Sus scrofa: one gene and its partner. The protein of the gene in region 1 interacts with the protein of each later gene in a pairwise test. Links are inferred from orthologs where the notes say so. Each region holds a gene or a part of one and is shown in the gene's direction. Other genes may lie near its edges.

What was found. The genes of interacting proteins can lie anywhere in the genome.
Region 2: the proteins of EHHADH (region 1) and DES interact in binary tests that used the Homo sapiens proteins (3 or more experiments, as listed by UniProt). The two-hybrid records come from large-scale screens. The link is inferred for Sus scrofa from reciprocal best matches to the Homo sapiens genes EHHADH and DES.

The regions. Positions count from the first base shown.
Region 1 is NC_010455.5:123,148,536-123,152,180, reverse strand, and holds part of EHHADH (peroxisomal bifunctional enzyme), read left to right. Parts: intron 1-3,041; coding exon 3,042-3,153; intron 3,154-3,645. UniProt on the Homo sapiens protein: Peroxisomal trifunctional enzyme possessing 2-enoyl-CoA hydratase, 3-hydroxyacyl-CoA dehydrogenase, and delta 3, delta 2-enoyl-CoA isomerase activities. Catalyzes two of the four reactions of the long chain fatty acids peroxisomal beta-oxidation pathway.
Region 2 is NC_010457.5:121,427,204-121,431,441, forward strand, and holds the start of DES (desmin), read left to right. Parts: upstream 1-1,398; 5' UTR 1,399-1,439; coding exon 1,440-2,020; intron 2,021-2,906; coding exon 2,907-2,967; intron 2,968-3,089; coding exon 3,090-3,185; intron 3,186-3,301; coding exon 3,302-3,463; intron 3,464-3,629; coding exon 3,630-3,755; intron 3,756-4,146; coding exon 4,147-4,238. UniProt on the Homo sapiens protein: Muscle-specific type III intermediate filament essential for proper muscular structure and function.

The DNA.
Region 1 (3,645 bases):
TCTTTTTCCTGGGTAATATCTTTTTCTTACAGTTTTGTTTTTCTTTGCAACCTTTTAATTAAAAAACCCCCAATATTTGGAATTTTATTCTCCTTCATTTGAACTCTATTTTTATACTAATAGCATGTTTAAAGTGTTATTAAATAGTCTTTATCCATTCTGCCAATATCTGCTATTTACATTTAACATAATTATTTATAGTTGCCATTTTGCAATTTATTTTCTGTACCTTCTTTTTTTGTTATTCCTCAATTCCTCCACTAACACTCTTGTTTGTGTTAAATAGATATATTCTAGTGCCCTTTAACTTCTCTTATTATTTCTTTTACTGTGTATTTTTGAGTTATTTCTTAGTGGTGATTGCCCTGGGGATTATAAATAACATCTTAATTTATGACAATCTAGTTCTGATTAGTACCAACTTTATTTCAATAGTATGCAAAACATTTACTCCCATACGGTTTTGTTACACACTCTCTTTATGCTGTTATTGTCATAAATTATATCATTATGGGAGTTCCCGTCGTGGCGCAGTGGTTGACGAATCCGACTAGGAACCATGAGGTTGCGGGTTCGGTCCCTGCCCTTGCTCAGTGGGTTAAGGATCCGGCGTTGCCCTGAGCTGTGGTGTAGGTTGCAGACGCGGCTCGGATCCTGCGTTGCTGTGGCTCTGGTGTAGGCCAGGGGCTACAGCTCCGATTAGACCCCTAGCCTGGGAACCTCCATATGCCACGGAAGTGGCCCAAAGAAATAGCAAAAAGACAAAAAAAAAAAAAAATTAAATAAATAAATAAATAAATAAATAATATCATTATACATTGCATACCCATCCACACAAAAATATAATTATTACTTAATGTGTTGGTCTTTTAAATTAGATAAGAAAAAAAGAGAAATTACATACAAAAAGTTACATTAATACTGTCTTTTATATTTATATATATAGTTACCCTTTAACAGTATTCTTTATTCCCTCATGTGGATTTGAGTTACTGCTTAGTGTCTTTTCATCCTGAAGAACTTCTTGCAGAGCAGATGTACTAGCAGCAAATTCAGTTTTTATTTATCTGAGAATGTCTTAATTTACCTTCATTTTCAAAGACTAGTTTTTTCTGGATATAAAATTCGTGGTCGACAGTATTTTTCTTCCAGTACTTTGAACATGTCATCCCACTGCCTTCTTGCCTCCATGGTTTCTGATGAGAGATTTGCTGTTACTCTTATTGGAACTATTTCTTAAAAATACCACTTAAAATAGTTGCATAATTTTTTATCTTTATATGTTTACCATAATTTATTTAACCATTTCCCAGTGTTGTTTTAATTTTTATAAAACACAAATAAAAACACATATCCTAAGTGTTCCTTGTTCTGTGTTCCTCATACCATAACCTTCTGCATACTGAATGCAGATCTAAGTTACAAGCAATCATAATAAATCATAAGGGGAAAGAAAGGGGTAGCCAGTGATGGGAAAAATGGTGATTGACTGCTAGGGGAGCATCGTATGAGAGAAGCACAAACGTTCCAGGTATTTTGGAGCTATTGGCATCACAATTTGTGCAGATGGCAGTCTGTATTTAAGTACCCTCCTTCTCCTATCTTTATACCTGGGCAATGACTAACACACCTTTGGCCACTTTTAAGGCTAGGAGAGACATATGATGAAGGACTCAAGCTCATCCTCTTACCTAGACTGAGGTTACTGCCTGAGTTCCTCCCTCCTTTCTTTCTTTCTCTTTCTTTCTTTTCTTTCTTCCTCCCTTCCTCTCTTTCTTTCTTTTTCTTTCTTCCTTTTGTAATAGCTTTATTGAGATACAATTCACATACCATATAATTCCCTTATTTAAGGTATATAATTCAATGGTGTATTAGAATACTTACAGAGTTATACAATCATTATCACAGCTGATTTTAGGATATATCATCACCCCCAAAAGAAACTTCACACCCTTTAGGAGTAACCCACCATTTCCCTCTCCTCAAATCCTAGCAATTACTAATCTACTTCTGTCTCTATGGATTTGCCTATTCTATACATTTCATGTAAATAGAATAGAAAAGGCAATATATTGCCTTTTGTGTCTGGCTCTTTCACTTAGCATAATATTTTCAGGGTTCACTTGTGTTATAGCATGTCATCAGTATTTCATTCCTTTCCATGGCTGAATAATATTTTCTTGTATGGATACACTATTTTCTTTATCCATGCATTACTTGATGGACATTTGGATTGTTTCTCCTTTCTTGGATTTGTTAATAATGATGCTATGAAATTTGTGAACAAAGGTTTTTTTTTTTTGTGGTAGATATTTTCATTTCTCTTGGGTAAATATTCAGGGGTAGGACTGCTGTGTCATATGGTAACTCTATGAAAAATTGAAAAATTGAGAGATTGTTTTCCAAAGTGACTGCACTACATTACATCCCCACCAGCAATGTATGAGGGTTTTGTATTCTCCACATTCTCTCTCAAACTTGTTATTGTCTGTCTTTTTTATTATAGCCATCCTGGTGGGTGTGAAGTACTATCTTGTAGTTTTGATTTGCATTTTCCTGATAGCTAATGATATTGATCAGCCTTTCATGTGTTTACTGGCCATTTGTTTCTTTTTGGAGAAATGTCTATTCAGATCCTTTGTCCATTTTTATTTGGGTCACTTGTCTTTTTGTTATTAAGTTACAAAATTTCTTTATGTATTCCAGATATGTGGTTAGCAAATATTTTCTCCCATTCTATAGGATGTTCTTTTAATTGCTTGGCTCTTTCAGGGCTCCGTAAAGCTTAGCCATTTCATAATAGAGTCAGAAATATTATGTAAGAAACTATGGATGTGTTTCAACATGAAGGCCTAGGTAGGGACAGAACAGCTCTATTTATGCTATTAAAGAGAGGGTGTGCACTAATTTGCTCTGCAGAAATTCTTGTTGGATTATATGAAACAATGTTTTTGAGGGTGTGGGAACCCCAGGGGAATGCTTGCCTTTACTCTGAACATATCATCTCATTCCAATGACCTTTATGCTTCAATCTTTGATAGGCTCAAGTTGGCTTTCCAGAAGTCACACTTGGAATCCTTCCTGGTGCAAGAGGAACCCAGCTTCTCCCCAGACTTATTGGAGTTCCTGCTGCACTTGACTTAATTACCTCAGGTCAGTACAAACCCAACCAATGGCTGTTTAGATCAATGTGAGGAACTGGCCTAACATTTAGAAAAATCCTGGCTTGACCATTCCATACCCATGTAATCTTAAGAGGATACTTTAAGTTCTTTGATATCAATTTTCTTATCTGTAAAACTGAAAGACTACCTTCTCTGAGAGCTTTTCAAAAGTTACCATAAAGAAAAAATGAGTGCTCTCTAAAACAAAGTGTATACAAAGCTGTAATCACAGTTAAATGTCTACTCATAGACACTCATGTTCACATAGGGTACATTATACTCAGATATAATTCAGAAATTGTAATATAAACAAGAATTAAAATCAGAATTTCCAAGGAAAGTTTTCAAGTTTTAGTTTGGAAATGACTGAATTTTTCACTTCCTTGGTATTAAGACATTGGCTTCAATAGGGAATGTGAATAGTGTAACACTAGAAAACATTTAGAGACCTTGGATTTATCAGATATGATACAAATTAATT
Region 2 (4,238 bases), on another chromosome or scaffold:
GAGGACACAGAAGAGGAGGACTTGCCTGCTTGTAGTATGTCTGCTGGTGATGGCAGAGCTAGCGTGCAAGAGCAGCCCTCAATTTCCAAGCTTTGCATTCCAAAAGGGTCAGGCCCAAGAGAGGCCTGCAGAGTGCCAGGTGGAGGTGTCCAGAGACAGCCAGGATTCGTGGAGAAGTGGGAATGTCCTTAGGGTCAGCCAGCACCTTGTCCTAAGGAGCCTGTGGAAGACTGGTCAGCCCTTCTGGGGCTCCATTGCTGCTGGGGGCATGGAGCATTATGGGGGTGCAAAGCAACTGGGGCTCATCACCCCAGCCTTCCTCCACCATCTGACACTCAGGTACCCGGCCCCCACCCCCAGAGCGCCTCTCCGGTGCGCTTTTTTTCCCGGCCTGATGCATTCTCCTCTATAAATACCAGCTCTGGTATTTCGGGTTGGCAGCTGTTGCTGCCAGGGAGATGGCTGGGTTGACATGAGGCTCCTGACAAAACACAAACCCCTCGGTGGGTGCGGGTGTGGGTGGTGTGAGGAGGGGCATGAATCAGAGGCGGGAGGTGGGCTCGAGGGGAGGAAGCCAGGCAAAGTTAGTGGCATGGGGGTGAGAGTATACAGTTATAATTGTCATCATTGGAAACTGAGAGCCTTCTAGCCCCTTTCTGGAAATCACTGTTGTTTATAAGCTTGAGGCCCAAGCCCAGAGGGAAACTGAGGCTGGAAGGAAGCTGGCACCCCAGTGCTAGCAGACATAACCCAGCAGGCAGGTCTGGCTCCCATTGCTCCTTGTCCCCGGGAAGCCCTCCCAGCCTTTCCACCTGTCCAGAGACCCTCCTCCTCTCAGCCTGGCTTCTGGACTCCTGGTCTTTGCCTGAGCCCTCCTAAGTGCTTGCCACATTCAGAGAATCTTGAGAAAAAACGGGTGATTTGGAGCCTTTCTTTAGAAACAGGCCTTGCTCGACATGACCCAAAATCTCTCCTGGGAGCAAAAACGAGTCCCTGTAAGTAAACATTAGCCTCTCCCCGATCACCCCCAGGAGGAAGCCGGCACCCCAAAGGCTGAGAGGGGGCCCCCCTTGGGGTGCCAGACGTGCTTGAGCCCTGGCCAAGCGCTTGGCTGGCCTGCCCATCTTCTGCCCTTCTAGGTCCATCGTTCTCTCCCACACCCTTCAGGGGCCCCCCTACCCGCCGGCCGAGGGGGCACAGGCCTCTTGCGGGGGAGCTGGCCTCCCCGCCCCCACGCCAGAGGCCGCCCTTTCCTGGCAGGACAGCGGGATCCTGCAGCTGTCAGGGGAGGGGCGGCGGGGGCTGATGTCAGGAGGGATACAAATAGTGCCGTCGGCTGGGGGCCCTGTCTCCCCTCGCCGCATCTACTCTCCAGCCGGCCGCCCGCCGCCGCCGCCGCCTCCTCCTCCGCGCCGCCCAGCCAAGCCCGCGCCGCCACCATGAGCCAGGCCTACTCGTCCAGCCAGCGCGTGTCCTCTTACCGCCGCACCTTCGGCGGGGCCCCGAGCTTCCCGCTCGGCTCGCCGCTGAGCTCGCCCGTGTTCCCGCGCGCGGGCTTCGGCACCAAGGGCTCCTCGAGCTCGGTGACCTCCCGAGTGTACCAGGTGTCGCGCACGTCGGGCGGGGCCGGGGGCCTGGGGCCGCTGCGGGCCAGCCGGCTGGGGGCCACCCGCGTGCCCTCCTCATCCTACGGCGCGGGCGAGCTGCTGGACTTCTCGCTGGCAGACGCCGTCAACCAGGAGTTCCTGACCACGCGCACCAACGAGAAAGTGGAGTTGCAGGAGCTCAATGATCGCTTTGCCAACTACATCGAGAAGGTGCGCTTCCTGGAGCAGCAGAACGCGGCGCTCGCCGCCGAGGTGAACCGGCTCAAGGGCCGCGAGCCGACCCGGGTGGCCGAGATCTACGAGGAGGAGCTGCGCGAGCTGCGGCGCCAGGTGGAGGTGCTCACCAACCAGCGCGCCCGCGTCGACGTCGAGCGGGACAACCTGCTGGACGACCTGCAGCGGCTCAAGGCCAAGTGAGGACCCGAAACCCCCTCTCCATGGGCTGGGGCGTGGGAGGCTAGGCCTAGGACTGGATCCAGTTGTCAGCACCCAGGGAGAGGAGGGTTGTTGCTGTGTTCCCCGAAGGGGAGGGACGCCTGGCCTTTCCCTTTGCTCGCAGTCTGCAGAGGAGGAATCTTCTTGCAGACATCATGAGGAGGAAAGGCGAGACCTGGGAGGACCAGGTGCCTTTTAAAAAGCATCTTAAGATGCTGGGGTGATGTTGCTGGGAGTCAGGTATGTAGGTGGAGAGAGGAGGCCCAAGTGCAGTCAGAGAGAGACTCTCAGCCCATCTGTGATGAGGCCCTGGGGCTGGGGGTGGAGAGGGGATCTTGGCCCCTGGGCCTGGCTGAGGCTGTACAGGGGGACCGGATAAGCTAGAGGAAGGGGGAGAGTGCCTGGGGGGTGCAGCTCTCAGCAAGCTTGGGAGGACTAAATGGTGGGCTCCACCAGGCTCCCAGTACATAAAGGCAGCAAGTATAGAGCAAGGACTCATGGGTCCTGCTTTTGGTGGCCCAAGAGAACAGAGTCCCTGTCCTTCCACCCAGGTCACAAATGTTAAGTGAGCACCTACATGGGTCAGGCTGGGGCTGGGGCCTGGGAACACAGAGGTGGATAAAATAGACACAGTTCTTAATCCCAGGGAGGTCACAGTCTGGTGGGGACAGAGGCTTCCAGGGTGTGGCTCCAAGGCAGCGATTGGGCCACTTCCTGTCCCCTCCCTGTGTGGGCAGGGCCTCCTGCCTCTACCCAGCAGCCATGCCTCCTCTGTGCTAAGCCCATTCTCTGGGCAGCCCCCAGACAGTCTTCTTCATTGCCACTTTTGTCCCTACCGTCTGTCCTTCTGTCTGTCTCGGCCAGGCTGCAAGAGGAAATTCAGCTGAAAGAAGAAGCCGAGAACAATTTGGCTGCCTTCCGAGCGGTGAGTCCTCTTTGGTCCCCCAGAAGCCTTGCTCCTTCTGTCCCCTGCTGCATGGGCTGTAGTCTCTCTCTGCCTTGCCAGGCTGATCAGTGACCCTGTCCCTCCCACCTGACCCCTTCCAGGATGTGGATGCAGCCACTCTAGCTCGAATTGACCTGGAGCGCAGGATCGAATCTCTCAACGAGGAAATCGCGTTCCTTAAGAAAGTACACGAAGAGGTACGCCCTGGTGAAAGCAGGTGGAAATGATGGGACCGGTGCTGGGCTCTGGGAATCGGGGTGTGAGGGTACGTTTGGGGCTTGGCCGGGGACTGAAGCCCGGCCGTACCCTGCAGGAGATCCGAGAACTGCAGGCCCAGCTTCAGGAACAACAGGTCCAGGTGGAGATGGACATGTCCAAGCCAGACCTCACCGCCGCCCTCAGGGACATCCGGGCTCAGTACGAGACCATCGCGGCTAAGAACATCTCAGAAGCCGAAGAGTGGTACAAGTCAAAGGTGGGACTCTGGCCCCTCCGTGCCCCTCCATCCCAGTTTGGAGGTGCTTCCTGTGGCTCCATCTATGGGTAGGAGGGTGAGCCTGGGGTCTCTATGTTCCCTTGCTCACCCCTACCTGTGTCCTGCATCCTCCCTGTCATCTCAGGACCCCTCTCTCTGCCCTTAGGTGTCCGACCTGACCCAGGCAGCCAATAAGAACAATGATGCACTGCGCCAGGCCAAGCAGGAGATGATGGAGTATCGCCATCAGATCCAGTCCTACACCTGCGAGATCGATGCCCTCAAGGGCACTGTGAGTCCTTGGTCACCTCACCTGGCCCAGCCCGCACCCTCACTTTGTGACCTCAGGCCCATCACATCCCCTCTCTGGGCCTCTCTCTCCTCAGATCTGTCACAGGGGTGAAAACAGACAGGTGGATGTCTGGAGGGGCTCCTGCATGGCCAGGAGAGGGGGGGTGTGAACAGCCGTGCTCCTTTTTATCAGTTCTGTTCTCTGAGTTTCTACATAAGTCTTCTTTTGAGTTCAGAGTTCCCTGGCTCAGAAGAGTGACAAGCCCTAGATGTGGCCACCATCTGGGGTTGCCTCCCAGCCCCAAGCTGGAAATTTCCCCATCCTGGGCCCGAGTGTCCCCTCTGGCCACAACCACAGCCTGTCCTTGACCCTGGGCACCCCTCCCCTGCAGAACGATTCCCTGATGAGGCAGATGCGGGAGCTGGAGGACCGCTTTGCTAGTGAGGCCAGCGGCTACCAGGACAACATCGCACGCCTGGAGGA